Schizosaccharomyces pombe: one gene and its partners. The gene in region 1 interacts genetically with each later gene. Each region holds a gene or a part of one and is shown in the gene's direction. Other genes may lie near its edges.

Region 1 (3,759 bases):
CAATCATTATCACGCATGCTTCTGGGAGCGTAGTCTTGCAATCCTGCTACGTAGTTTGCACCACAGTAGGCGATACCTGCAAGAAGAACTAAAAAGCCTAGGAAAGAAGTAAACCCGGAGTAAGAAAAGAGTAAAGTACCCATGAAAGCGTAGAAGAAGCCCCTTCCTAAGAATGAGAACATGAACGATCCATATTTAATAGCAATAGGAGGAATTTCCTTTTCTAAACCAATAGTTCCCAAACCGAAAACGATGATGAACAATGCAAGTAAAGCGTTTACGAAGCTAAATGAAAATAACTTGATAAATCCGCTTAAAACGAAGATACCACCTACGCCCAAATTAATGGCACTAAACATTTTTGTTTTATCCATTGTGAATTAAGTGTATGCAACCAATATTAAATTTTTCAAGCAATATGTATTTTAGTCGATGTTTGCTTAAAGACAAAGAGAAATGCAAGTTACTAAGCCTGCCTATGCTTACCGATGCGGTCATGCATATTTACGAACTATTGAAATACGGTAAATAAAAATAACGAATTCCATAATTCTCAACCAACTTTTTGTTGTTTACAGAAAATGAATAATTCAATTCATCGAAAATGCATTTTGTTTTCTATAGCATTCTTTGTACTGTTTTTGAAGTTAAAAACACTATCATTTAGTAAATAATGTACTTTCGACCCGGCTTTTTTTTGAGACAACTGTTGTTGACAATTTTAAGGTCTGTGGGTCAATTTATATATTTGTCAAACGTTCGTAAACAAATGTATTTGTATCTTAGTTTCATACGAGCTCCTTTAGCTATATGTGATCTACTCTCACTCGGGATCTACAGGGCTGTAAAATTTTTTGCACTCAAGTTTCACGCGATTATTATCAGATGCACCTGAATAAAAAAGAATAAAGTAAAATAAAAAGCCGAATGTTTTATAACGTAGTAAAATTCCTTCTTATTTTGATCGCTTTGCCATTCATTTGATTATGTTTATAATGATAATTTCACGTGCAATGTCAACTTTGATAGACGGCTACATCTATTTCTAATTCGTAACGCTATAAAAAAAAACTCCATTTTAAACTGAGAATAAAGCAAGAAGTCGATTAGCCGAATATAGATATCAGCATGATTCGTTTTAAACGGCCCAAAGCCTTGTATATATTTGAGTAATTTTCTACTGTACTTAATTGTCTGTAATTAAACAACTATTTGTTACTCCTACCTTGTTACACTTGGATTTAATACTCTGGAATTAGTGTACTAACTCCTAAATAAATATTTAAGTAGTATTTTTCTTTAAGATATTTCTTTAATAAACATTCTCTTCTAATGAAAAGAAAAGCGTCATTATTGGTATTTTAGTTTTCAGAGCAAAGAGGTACTTAACATTTATTATGTCGCAATTATTTTATATATATATTATATTAATATTTTGTAATGAGAAACCTAGGCCTAATAGTGTAGTGGTTAACATACCTCTTTCGGGTAATCCCCACTTGTATGCTGAGTTTAGAGGTGATCCCTGGTTCGAATCCTGGTTAGGCCCCTTTTTATACTGGGCTTGCTGTATAAATTTATCTGATTAATTTTGAAACTACGCAAACCAACTTTCAATAATTAAAAAGTTTTCCTTACACCTTGCTTGATTACCTTTTAATAGATGTGAAATAAGAACTACTAAATTTGTGATAAATACCGAAAACAATCAGAAGAGTCGAAAAGAAGCATTCAAAAAATTGTGTAAATAACGAGTAGGTTTCTAATAATACGATAATTTCACAGGATGCCTATAATGGATCTGGCAGCTAATGAGCAAATCATTTTTACTTTTTTTTTTATTTAAAACATACGAAAAGATTCTCTTTTTTTGCTGCAAACAAAATTTACTGTAATTGAACCTAGAATTGGTAGCAAAGGCATTACACCGTATTACTGTAAACTTCACTAATGTTTGTGTTTTTAGGCGCATGATGAACATGATTACTCAAGAAAGTAACCAGCGACTATGTCAAATTTGCTTCTGATCATTGACTCGGTTTCACAAAAAATAAGAGACAGGAGGAAGTTGGAAGAGTTTGGACAGAATCCCGATGAAGAAATTGAGTCTTCATTGAAAGATGTTCGGCAAGAATTGCAAAAACTTAATGAGGAGCAATCGCGATTAGAGAAAAATGCACAAATCCCAGAGTACAGAGTACGAGAATCCGAAGCATTTCTTATTAGAATGCAAAGGAGGTTAGAGTCTGCTGAGGAAGAGTTTGAGAAGCAGCGGCGTGCATCCTCAATTCCTGCTGACGGAACAAGTGCCTTTTCTGCAAACCCGCAAGTTGCAAGTACGAATAATAAGTTAACTCCCCTTCCTTCTTTACAAAAAACGACTTCGAGTAGTGAGGGATCTGATATTGAGATGGAGGCCATGTATCCGGTTGATGGCAATGACCCTGATCCCATAAACGTAAACGTTTTGGCTCAAATGCATCAGCAAATGCTCAACGAACAAGAAGAATCTTTAGGAGGGATCGAAGCAAGTGTCCAAAGGCAAAAGCGGATGGGATATGCAATGAATACAGAATTGTCCGAACAAAATGTTTTACTAGATAATATGAATAATGATGCTGATCGAATTGAGAGGAGGTTTGATCATGCAAAAAATCGATTAAACAAGGTCAGCCGAAAGGCTAAACAGTATCCCAGATGCTTTATTATTTTGCTCCTTTGTGCGTTGTTATTACTTGTGGCTTCCATTTAGGGTGCAAATAAATATCACTTAGCAATTGTACTTGCTGTAACTCTGTTACACTTTCACTTAATTCTTTTATTTCACGTCCTCTTTGAACTAGGCTATATAGTTCTTTTATTTATATTTAATAACCGTGATATTTACGAACTTTTTTTTTACGATTTTGAAAATGTTTTTGTGATCTTCAACTTCTTTTGCTAAACGAACCTTCCCTTTATAGGGAATACAGAAATTAACTTTTTCGTACATTCCAGTTTCTAACCATTGACTGTCTTTCTACTTTAGTAATTATTTTTCTGCTAGCGCATTTCTTATCGAAATCATTTTTGTGTTCTTTTAAGGGCCGTCCCCCTTGTTCACAAAGCTAGTTTTGACGACTTAAATCAAGTGAATATAGTGCATGCAGAGTGAATGCTTAATAACCATTTGTTACAAACTTTGTTTCGCTAATAACTCCTTATTTGACATTTGAATAAATAACCTATTAGACTTTCAAAATTTTTAGATTCAGGGCAGTAAACAATAAACAACAATATCTTCAATTAGCTGTATCAATTTATTTTCAGAAGTTTTGCTATATTATTCCTTCATCTCATTAAAAAATATTCTCTTCTATTATTAAACATACGTAGTCATGTTATCATTATCATTATTAAGGAAAAGTTTGAACGAGTAGATTCTTTCTTGAGAATTAAGGGAACATGTGCTTGAATGCCATTTTTTTCATCTTAAATATAAAGCCTCCGTTGCTATTGTTAACCATATCACGCTGAACCTTTTTTGATAATAAAATATCAGAAGCAACCCTCTTAACTAATGTGTTGTGAACCTCTCAGCATTGCATATCTTAGCGTAATTAAATATTCGGTAAAAGAGGATCGTTTTCCTATCAACAATTGAACCCCAAATCAAAATATTCAAAACTTCAGATCAATCCTTAAATTAATTAAAAACCGAATCAAAGCTAGTTGATTTTTGTTTAAAAAAACTAAAAGATGCATTTCATTAAGAAACAA
Region 2 (3,492 bases), on another chromosome or scaffold:
GTCGCAGCCTTTGCTTGTTTCATCCGACCTACAAATATACTAGTCTGGATATTCCCACTTTTATTCTGGAACAAAAATCCTCAAACACCCATAAAGGATTTACTCTCGTTTTCCAATGTTTTTAATCGCTTTCGTTTTTTATATGCTCTCGGTTATGGGCGGCTTTTTGGCATATTCGTTTTGTGTGTGTCTTTATTTTTAGTTAATATTATTGCTGATAGAATACTTTACGGTCGTTTTGTCTTTCCCATCATTTCGTTCTTTCAATTTAATGTTACTTCAGGCCTTTCCTCTTTGTATGGATTGAACGCATGGCACTATTACCTTTCTCAAGCCCTCCCATTAATATGCGGAGGATTTCTTCCATTCGTATTACTCACAATGGACCTTCAAACAGCGGGAACCATTCTTTGTGTTTTCTTTCCCTATTCACTGATAGGACATAAAGAACTTCGGTTTGTATACCCAATTTCACCGATTTTACTTACTTTAGCTGGAAAATTTTTTTCATCATTTTCCTCTTGGAAGCGTGCAGCACGGTTTTTCTTCCTTATTGGATTGGGACATGCTCTGGTAATTACATTTTTATGCCGATTTCATCAATTTGGAGTCATGGAAGTTATGCCATTAATACATTCACTTGCTGAAAAAAACCAAACTGGTCTAATACTTGCTCCGTGTCACACTACACCATGGCAGTCGCATATCCATTCACCTTTTGCTGAAAATGGATGGAAGTTCTTGACATGTGAACCGTTCGAAAAGCCCTTTGATGAGACGGATCGTTTTTACGAGAATATGCCTACTTTTCTAGATAAAATTAAAGAATGGCCGGATTATCTGATTTTCTTTGAAGAGCGGTTTTATAGCTTATACAGCTATCTTGACTCCCGAGGGTTGAAGTATGAAGAAGTACAGAGGTATTATAACTCCTTGATTCCTGAAAGTCGAGAGAGAGCTGGAGCTCTGTTAGTGTATAAGAAACTCTAATTACATGATTCTTCATACCCCAAAAATTTCACAGGTCAGCATAATTATCTGCATTTTAACAACTATTGATGTATTTTAAATGAAACCACTGATGACTATTACTTGCTTTGGACAATATTTGGTTTATCCCTAAAACGCCAGCTTGATTTCTAGCTCCCCATTATAAACGATTTGCATTTCTATTATGGTTCGTGGATTATAGAGGGGGCCATATCAAGTCTTCACAGAGCAAGAGGAAGCAACAATTTGTAGACGAATAAAGTAATCCTAAGCCATTTACTATTAAAACTTAAGACATGGGTGGAACACTTATCTTCCCCGAAGCCATTATCATGAATCAACATCATTTTAAAATTTTCAACCTTTGGCGACTTTAACCTTTCAGAAATTTTCTTAAATACAAATTTATAGCATATCCTGCACTCTCCAAACAAATCTGAAAAAGAAAAGTTAGCTTACAACGCGAACACCCAAGTCACTTAAAGAATTTGCAATTGTAATTTTATGCTATGGAGTCGAGAAAAACGCAAAGGTCATTCGTCTATGTTGCGATTGGGACTTGAAAAAATAATTTTATACGGCCTAGCTACGATTCTAAATTAAATTTTTTATAATAGTATTTCACAAAATATTTGGAATATTACGGATACTTTAATTTTTAAACACAGTAAACTGCTTAAACGGTCGGTTTCTAGAATTGTAAAAAATTCTGAATTTCATTGTTTTATTAGATGAAGTATGAATATATATAATTGTAGTAAACACATCAACGATTCAACTAAGCATGTAATGTACGAAAGTAATAGCAATCCCACTTGTGTCAAGAATCTCATAACTTCACTAAATTTATTTACTGAATAGCATTTACACTATTATACGCTTTTTTACGTAGAGTTAAAGCATTGCTACATCCTAACGCGCAAAGTGTATATTGTGTGACTTACATATCTACACTATTCTCGTCTGCTAGAAATTACCAAAATATTGCAATTCAGCAGCTTCAGTTGATATAATGAGTTATTTTTTACCTCATTTACATTCTGGATGGTAAGTTTTTGTGATAGATGGATTTATTCTTCTCTAACTTATGTTTATAGGCACGTTGATCAAGCAATTTTATCAGGTACGCGAACTTTAAGAAACGTAGAATGTTTCTCGTTTCACAACTTCGAATCAGCTTATTAACCTTTTTTTTTATAAATAGAACAAGAGCGCTTGGTTGTCATTCGATTTGGTAGAGATCATGTATGTTCTAATGTCGATATCTACTTGGATTAAGTCTATTTAATATTGTAGGCGGATTAATTTACTAACGCGTAACGGAATAGGATGAAGAATGTATAAAACAAGATGAAGTCCTATACAGAATTGCTGAAAAGGTCGTCAACATGGCTGTCATATATTTAGTGGACATTGACGAAGTTCCTGACTTCAACAAGGTAAGTCTAAGTCTTAGTTGGAAAGTCATGTTGCTAACCTTATTACCATCTAGATGTACGAGCTTTATGACAGAACTACAATAATGTTTTTTTATCGAAACAAACACATGATGATTGACTTAGGTACTGGTAACAATAACAAAATCAACTGGCCGTTAGAAGATAAACAAGAGATGATCGATATTATAGAAACTATTTTTCGTGGTGCTAGAAAAGGTAAAGGTCTTGTTATTTCTCCAAAAGATTACTCTACCCGACATCGCTACTAGAAGCCACCATTTGCTTATGCAAGAAAATGGAGAGGGGATAGAAAAATCATAGTAATTTGATAGTTTTTGGCTAAAATGAAAAAGTCTTTTTGCTTTAATTTTTACGCATAATTTGTACTTCAAATGGTATAACCCTTCTTTTAAAGTCAGTAACAATACAGGATTTGAAATTATCTAGTGGATGAATTGTAATAAAGTATTATCAAATCCTATGAAGAAATTACATTATATGATTAAAGAAAAGCATGAACATGATTACTCTTGCTATGATTTAACAAGAGAGGTAAAAAAGTGACACTCAAGTTGCCTTATTAGTTGATCTAGCGTGTTTCTTTAAAGCCAGCAAAATCTCGTCAAGAAGGGTGTATATAACATGAGCGTTTAGAGATTGGTTTTGGAGAATACGAAATATTCTTTTCACAGCAATATCAGGTGTATAGCCGGGAAACATGGAAGCAAGCAAAATCCCTGCTTCTGCTTTCAATTGATTCCTATCAGCATAAGCTGGCTTTCGCGCCCGTGAATGACGGCGGTCTTTGGAGTGATCATGATTAGATTTACCTTCAAGTCCTCGTCTAAACTCGCGTAACTTCCTATAAATCTTCTCAGGCGTAAACAACTGAAACAGTTGTAGTCGTATACGCTTTTCCAAAGCTCCGCCAAAAAGTTGTTCCAATATCGATATATAAGTTTTTTTCGGTAACCATTGCTGCTTTGCATCGTCATTTGGAGAAAACAATTCGACTAAAAATTCCGAGATGGGACCTGAGAATGACGAGTTAGTGTTAACGTTG
Region 3 (3,759 bases), 670 kb from region 1:
TTTATTGAGAATAAATCCCTCATCAAGGAAGGAGTCATCAAGTTTACCACCAAGGATCTTAATAATTTGAATGTTATCCAAGTTCGTGCTACCTTTCAAGCGAAGCACTGCATCAACAGCCAGCTGAGCAAAATGGTTTTTATTCTGAGATAAGATTTTGGAAGACAGAGTAGTTCTGGCAATATTCTCGAGGTCACTACGAAATTTAGCAGGATCACTAGAATTATCAATAGAGGAAGCACGAAGAGCATCGATAGCAGTTTTAGTAGCAATACGATAACCATCGATAATCACTTGAGGATGTATTTTTGCATTGACCATAATTTCTGCTTGACGAAGAAGTTCAGCAGCGAAGACACACACACTGGTAGTACCGTCGCCAACTTCATCATCTTGGACTTTTGAGATATTCACTAAAACTTTAGCAGCTGCATTATCCAAAGCTATAGACTTAAGAATGGTAGCACCGTCATTTGTCACAACAATATCACCCGAAGAGTTTGATTGTAAAATTTTGTCCTATAAATCGTTAATTAAAAATTTTTTCTATGTAGATTTGACCTTACCATTCCCTTAGGACCTAAAGTGCTTTTTACCAAATCGCCCACAGCAATTGCACCCACAAACGATGAAAGACGGGCATTTTCACCCCGCTCTTGGATGCCACTTTCGTTAAAAATCTGATGAGGATTTAAAGACTATATCGTTAGTACGGTTTTTACACATGATATTACCATTTCCAGATAGTGTACGATAAACCCAGAGTTGCGGTGGTTGAGTGGAAAGTAGCTTACAGCGAACAAGAAGCTCGTCGCAACAACGTAAGCCGTAGCTTACCAGGCATGTACCAGCGACTGTATATTTCTAGTTTTGGATCGTAAATAATATTATAATCAAATATTTTTATAATATATATATTTCATTCTCTTACGTTCATATTCATGCAAAAGAAAATAATGAGACAGCTTTTAAGCATTGCTATATAAAACACTATTCTATTACTCTCAAATATAAAATATCAAAAAATTAAAAGATTTCCTATATCTATTCAAGTCTCTATGAAGTTAATACCGACTACTGAGCATGTTCAACAAACTAGATGATGGTTGGCTTAATCGAGTGTTTTATTATTGCTCAAAATGAAATATGAAGCGTCGATTAAAGATTTCAACTGATTTTTTATTTTCGATTCCCTGTATGACTTGTGTTTTCTTACAAGTACTAGACTAATGTTTTTGTTTTGGAGCAATATAGATATTGAAAGAACCAATGCGCAAATCTCAATTCTATTCAATATTAGATGGAACCATCTCGAAAAGTTAGCCAACAAGTTTCTAGATCTTTAAATGTGAATACCATCCTTAGACCTTGAGAAGTCAAGGATAAGCAGCATTTTAGTTGAAACGATAGATCAGTGATCACTCCTAAATAACTCAATATAAACAGTTTGTAGTAATACATCTAGCGCTATATTCTAAGCGCTTTTTAACATTAATTTCTTAACCAAAGAGTATTCTTAGTTTAGAGCGCGTACATTTCATAGAACGTGTAATTATTAGTTTTATTTTAAATTCAGTACTGTTCTCTGTATACAATTGACTTCCATGTAAACGTATCTTGAATGCCATTTAGTTGTAATATGAAATTCTTTGCCGAAGACTCAGCCATTCCAATCTTCCCTTTTGAATTACCTATACAACTAGGTACGAAATCATCTTCGGCACAATATCTTTATGATTGCACCGCAAAGTTGAGTTTCAACATTTATTTAAAGAATCAATAATTATTTTTTATTCAATAAAAAGCAAAATATTTAAAACGCCTTCTTTTCCCTTAATTTTAACCGTAAATGAGTGAATGAAGCGAGGTTAGCATTATTACAACAGCTACAGTCCTCCTTATTCAATCCATCCCACTAATGAAAACAGCCAGTTGATGGAACCAACATCTGAGCATTCATCAATCAAGGAGGAAGTGGAAAATGATAACGTTCATAGATCTCATGAGTCGGAATGTGGATCACTGCTGTTAAACCCTGGTAATGTTCTAATGGCAGCGCCTTCGGTGTCAGAGGATGATCAAGAAGTAAGCAGGTCTACACCAGAATTGCGAAGCCACGTGGAAAACGTTGAACAATTACTTTCTGATATATTGCATGATAATTCCTCTCCGCTTAATGTAAGCACTTCAGTATCGAGCAGTAGTAACAATACGGCTGTTGATGAAATTATAAAACTACTTTCGTTGATATCTTTTGATTTGGCAAAACAAAAGCGCACATATTTGATATTCTCTTCATCAGGGAAGCCCGTGTTTAGTAACATTGTTGATGATTCAATTGAGCCATCAACCGTTGGCGCGTTACAAGCAATTATTAGCTCTTTCGAAGTGTCGAAAGAAGAGCTAACAAGCTTTTCTACCTTTTCCAATGTTATCGTTGTTCTCTCCAAAAATCCTCTTTATCTTGTTGGCGTATCGCCATCGACAACTTTAAGCGCAGCATATTTACTCAGTGAGTTAAACCTCTTATATTGCCAAATACTTACTGGGGTTACTGCGAAAGCTATGCAGCTGACCTTAAACTCCCGCCCAAATTTTGATTTGAGAAGACTTATTGGAAGCAACGAGCAGTTCCTAAAAGAACTATGTGATCAACTTAATGATTATGAATTAGTCCCCACATTGAATGCCATATCTCCTCTTCCTTTACGTTCCTCTTTTCGTGATCAGCTGTCGCAACTGCTGTTGAGAGAAACACCCAAATCTCTGCTGTTTACTTTTATAGCTATACGAGGTCGGCTTGTTTGTATGGTTAAGGCGAAGAAGCTTTTATTACATGCTAATGATCTCTATTTACTTTTCCTATCACTCTTCCGCACACAGTCTTTTAATGATTCAATGGAGCATTGGGTGCCTGTTTGTTTTCCTACTCTAAATCCAGATGCTTATATTTACATTTATAGCTATTTCCTATGTAAGGACACTGTCTTGATAATGGGGAGCAGCGAAAGTGGTGTCTTTTTTGAAATGCAATCAGTGAAATGCAAAGTTGCTCAGGAAATTCAGGATCATGGATGGTTGAAAAAGCTCATTTATTGTGAAGAAATGGATAGAACTACGCCAAGGAATCCCGGATCTCCTTGTATTTCACATTACTTGTTTTATTCAAAGAAATACTCACAGTTTTATACTCCTGGCTATTCATTTTCAACTCCCAATTTCAATACTAGGTACGTATACAATGATCTATTTTTCTTTACAATTTCAATACGATCGCTATCTTTGGGCTCATTTGCTTTGCTAACTATGTTTTTAGAACTCTTTATGCTATTTATGCTAGCTTACACGACCAGGCATTTCACAAAAAAAATTCTTTCTCAATTAATATGACTGTCCATGAATCTTTGCTTCTATTCACGTGGTCAACTGCATCGTTCGACTTTCATTGTATTGCTAACGCTACCACTAGCAGTCAACTGCTTATTGCAAATGTTAATAAGATTTTGAGATGGATACGAAGGGAGGAGAATCGATTATTTATACAAACAAACCTTTCGTTTTGATAATGAGCATGTAAAGTTTAATGAAATTCATTTCTTTTTATTTTTTATGATGTTTTGACAGTAAAATATTTAAAAGAGCGGTGATTGCTTCCAACAGCTTTATTAATTTTTCTTTTTCCTTTTTTTGTTTTAATTTATTAATATCAGCATCATTTTACTCACATAAATTTCCGACTGTATGAACTTAATATCATAG

Evidence for each region.
Region 2: mutations in fsv1 (region 1) and dim1 together harm fitness more than expected from each alone (negative genetic interaction), as found in Schizosaccharomyces pombe (one large-scale study listed by BioGRID).
Region 3: mutations in fsv1 (region 1) and aut12 together harm fitness more than expected from each alone (negative genetic interaction), as found in Schizosaccharomyces pombe (one large-scale study listed by BioGRID).

Annotation. Positions count from the first base shown.
Region 1 is NC_003424.3:1,312,714-1,316,472, reverse strand, and holds fsv1 (SNARE Stx8), read left to right. Parts: upstream 1-1,992; 5' UTR 1,993-2,008; coding exon 2,009-2,752; 3' UTR 2,753-3,237; downstream 3,238-3,759. Other genes in the region: tvp15 (COPI-coated vesicle-associated protein), read right to left, coding at 1-374. UniProt on the Schizosaccharomyces pombe protein: Involved in vesicle-mediated protein transport between the Golgi and the vacuole.
Region 2 is NC_003421.2:877,145-880,636, reverse strand, and holds dim1 (U4/U6 x U5 tri-snRNP complex subunit Dim1), read left to right. Parts: upstream 1-1,965; 5' UTR 1,966-2,002; coding exon 2,003-2,037; intron 2,038-2,048; exon of another isoform or gene 2,049-2,087; coding exon 2,088-2,113; exon of another isoform or gene 2,114-2,194; coding exon 2,195-2,235; exon of another isoform or gene 2,236-2,318; coding exon 2,319-2,429; exon of another isoform or gene 2,430-2,482; coding exon 2,483-2,698; 3' UTR 2,699-2,833; downstream 2,834-3,492. Other genes in the region: gpi10 (pig-B family GPI synthesis protein), read left to right, coding at 1-990; sorting nexin Snx12, read right to left, coding at 2,997-3,492. UniProt on the Schizosaccharomyces pombe protein: Plays a fundamental role as a protein essential for entry into mitosis (G2/M progression) as well as for chromosome segregation during mitosis. May play a role in mitotic spindle formation and/or function.
Region 3 is NC_003424.3:641,689-645,447, reverse strand, and holds aut12 (autophagy associated protein Aut12), read left to right. Parts: upstream 1-1,909; 5' UTR 1,910-1,935; coding exon 1,936-3,230; intron 3,231-3,316; coding exon 3,317-3,563; 3' UTR 3,564-3,603; downstream 3,604-3,759. Other genes in the region: chaperonin-containing T-complex beta subunit Cct2, read right to left, coding at 1-519, 567-698, 735-737.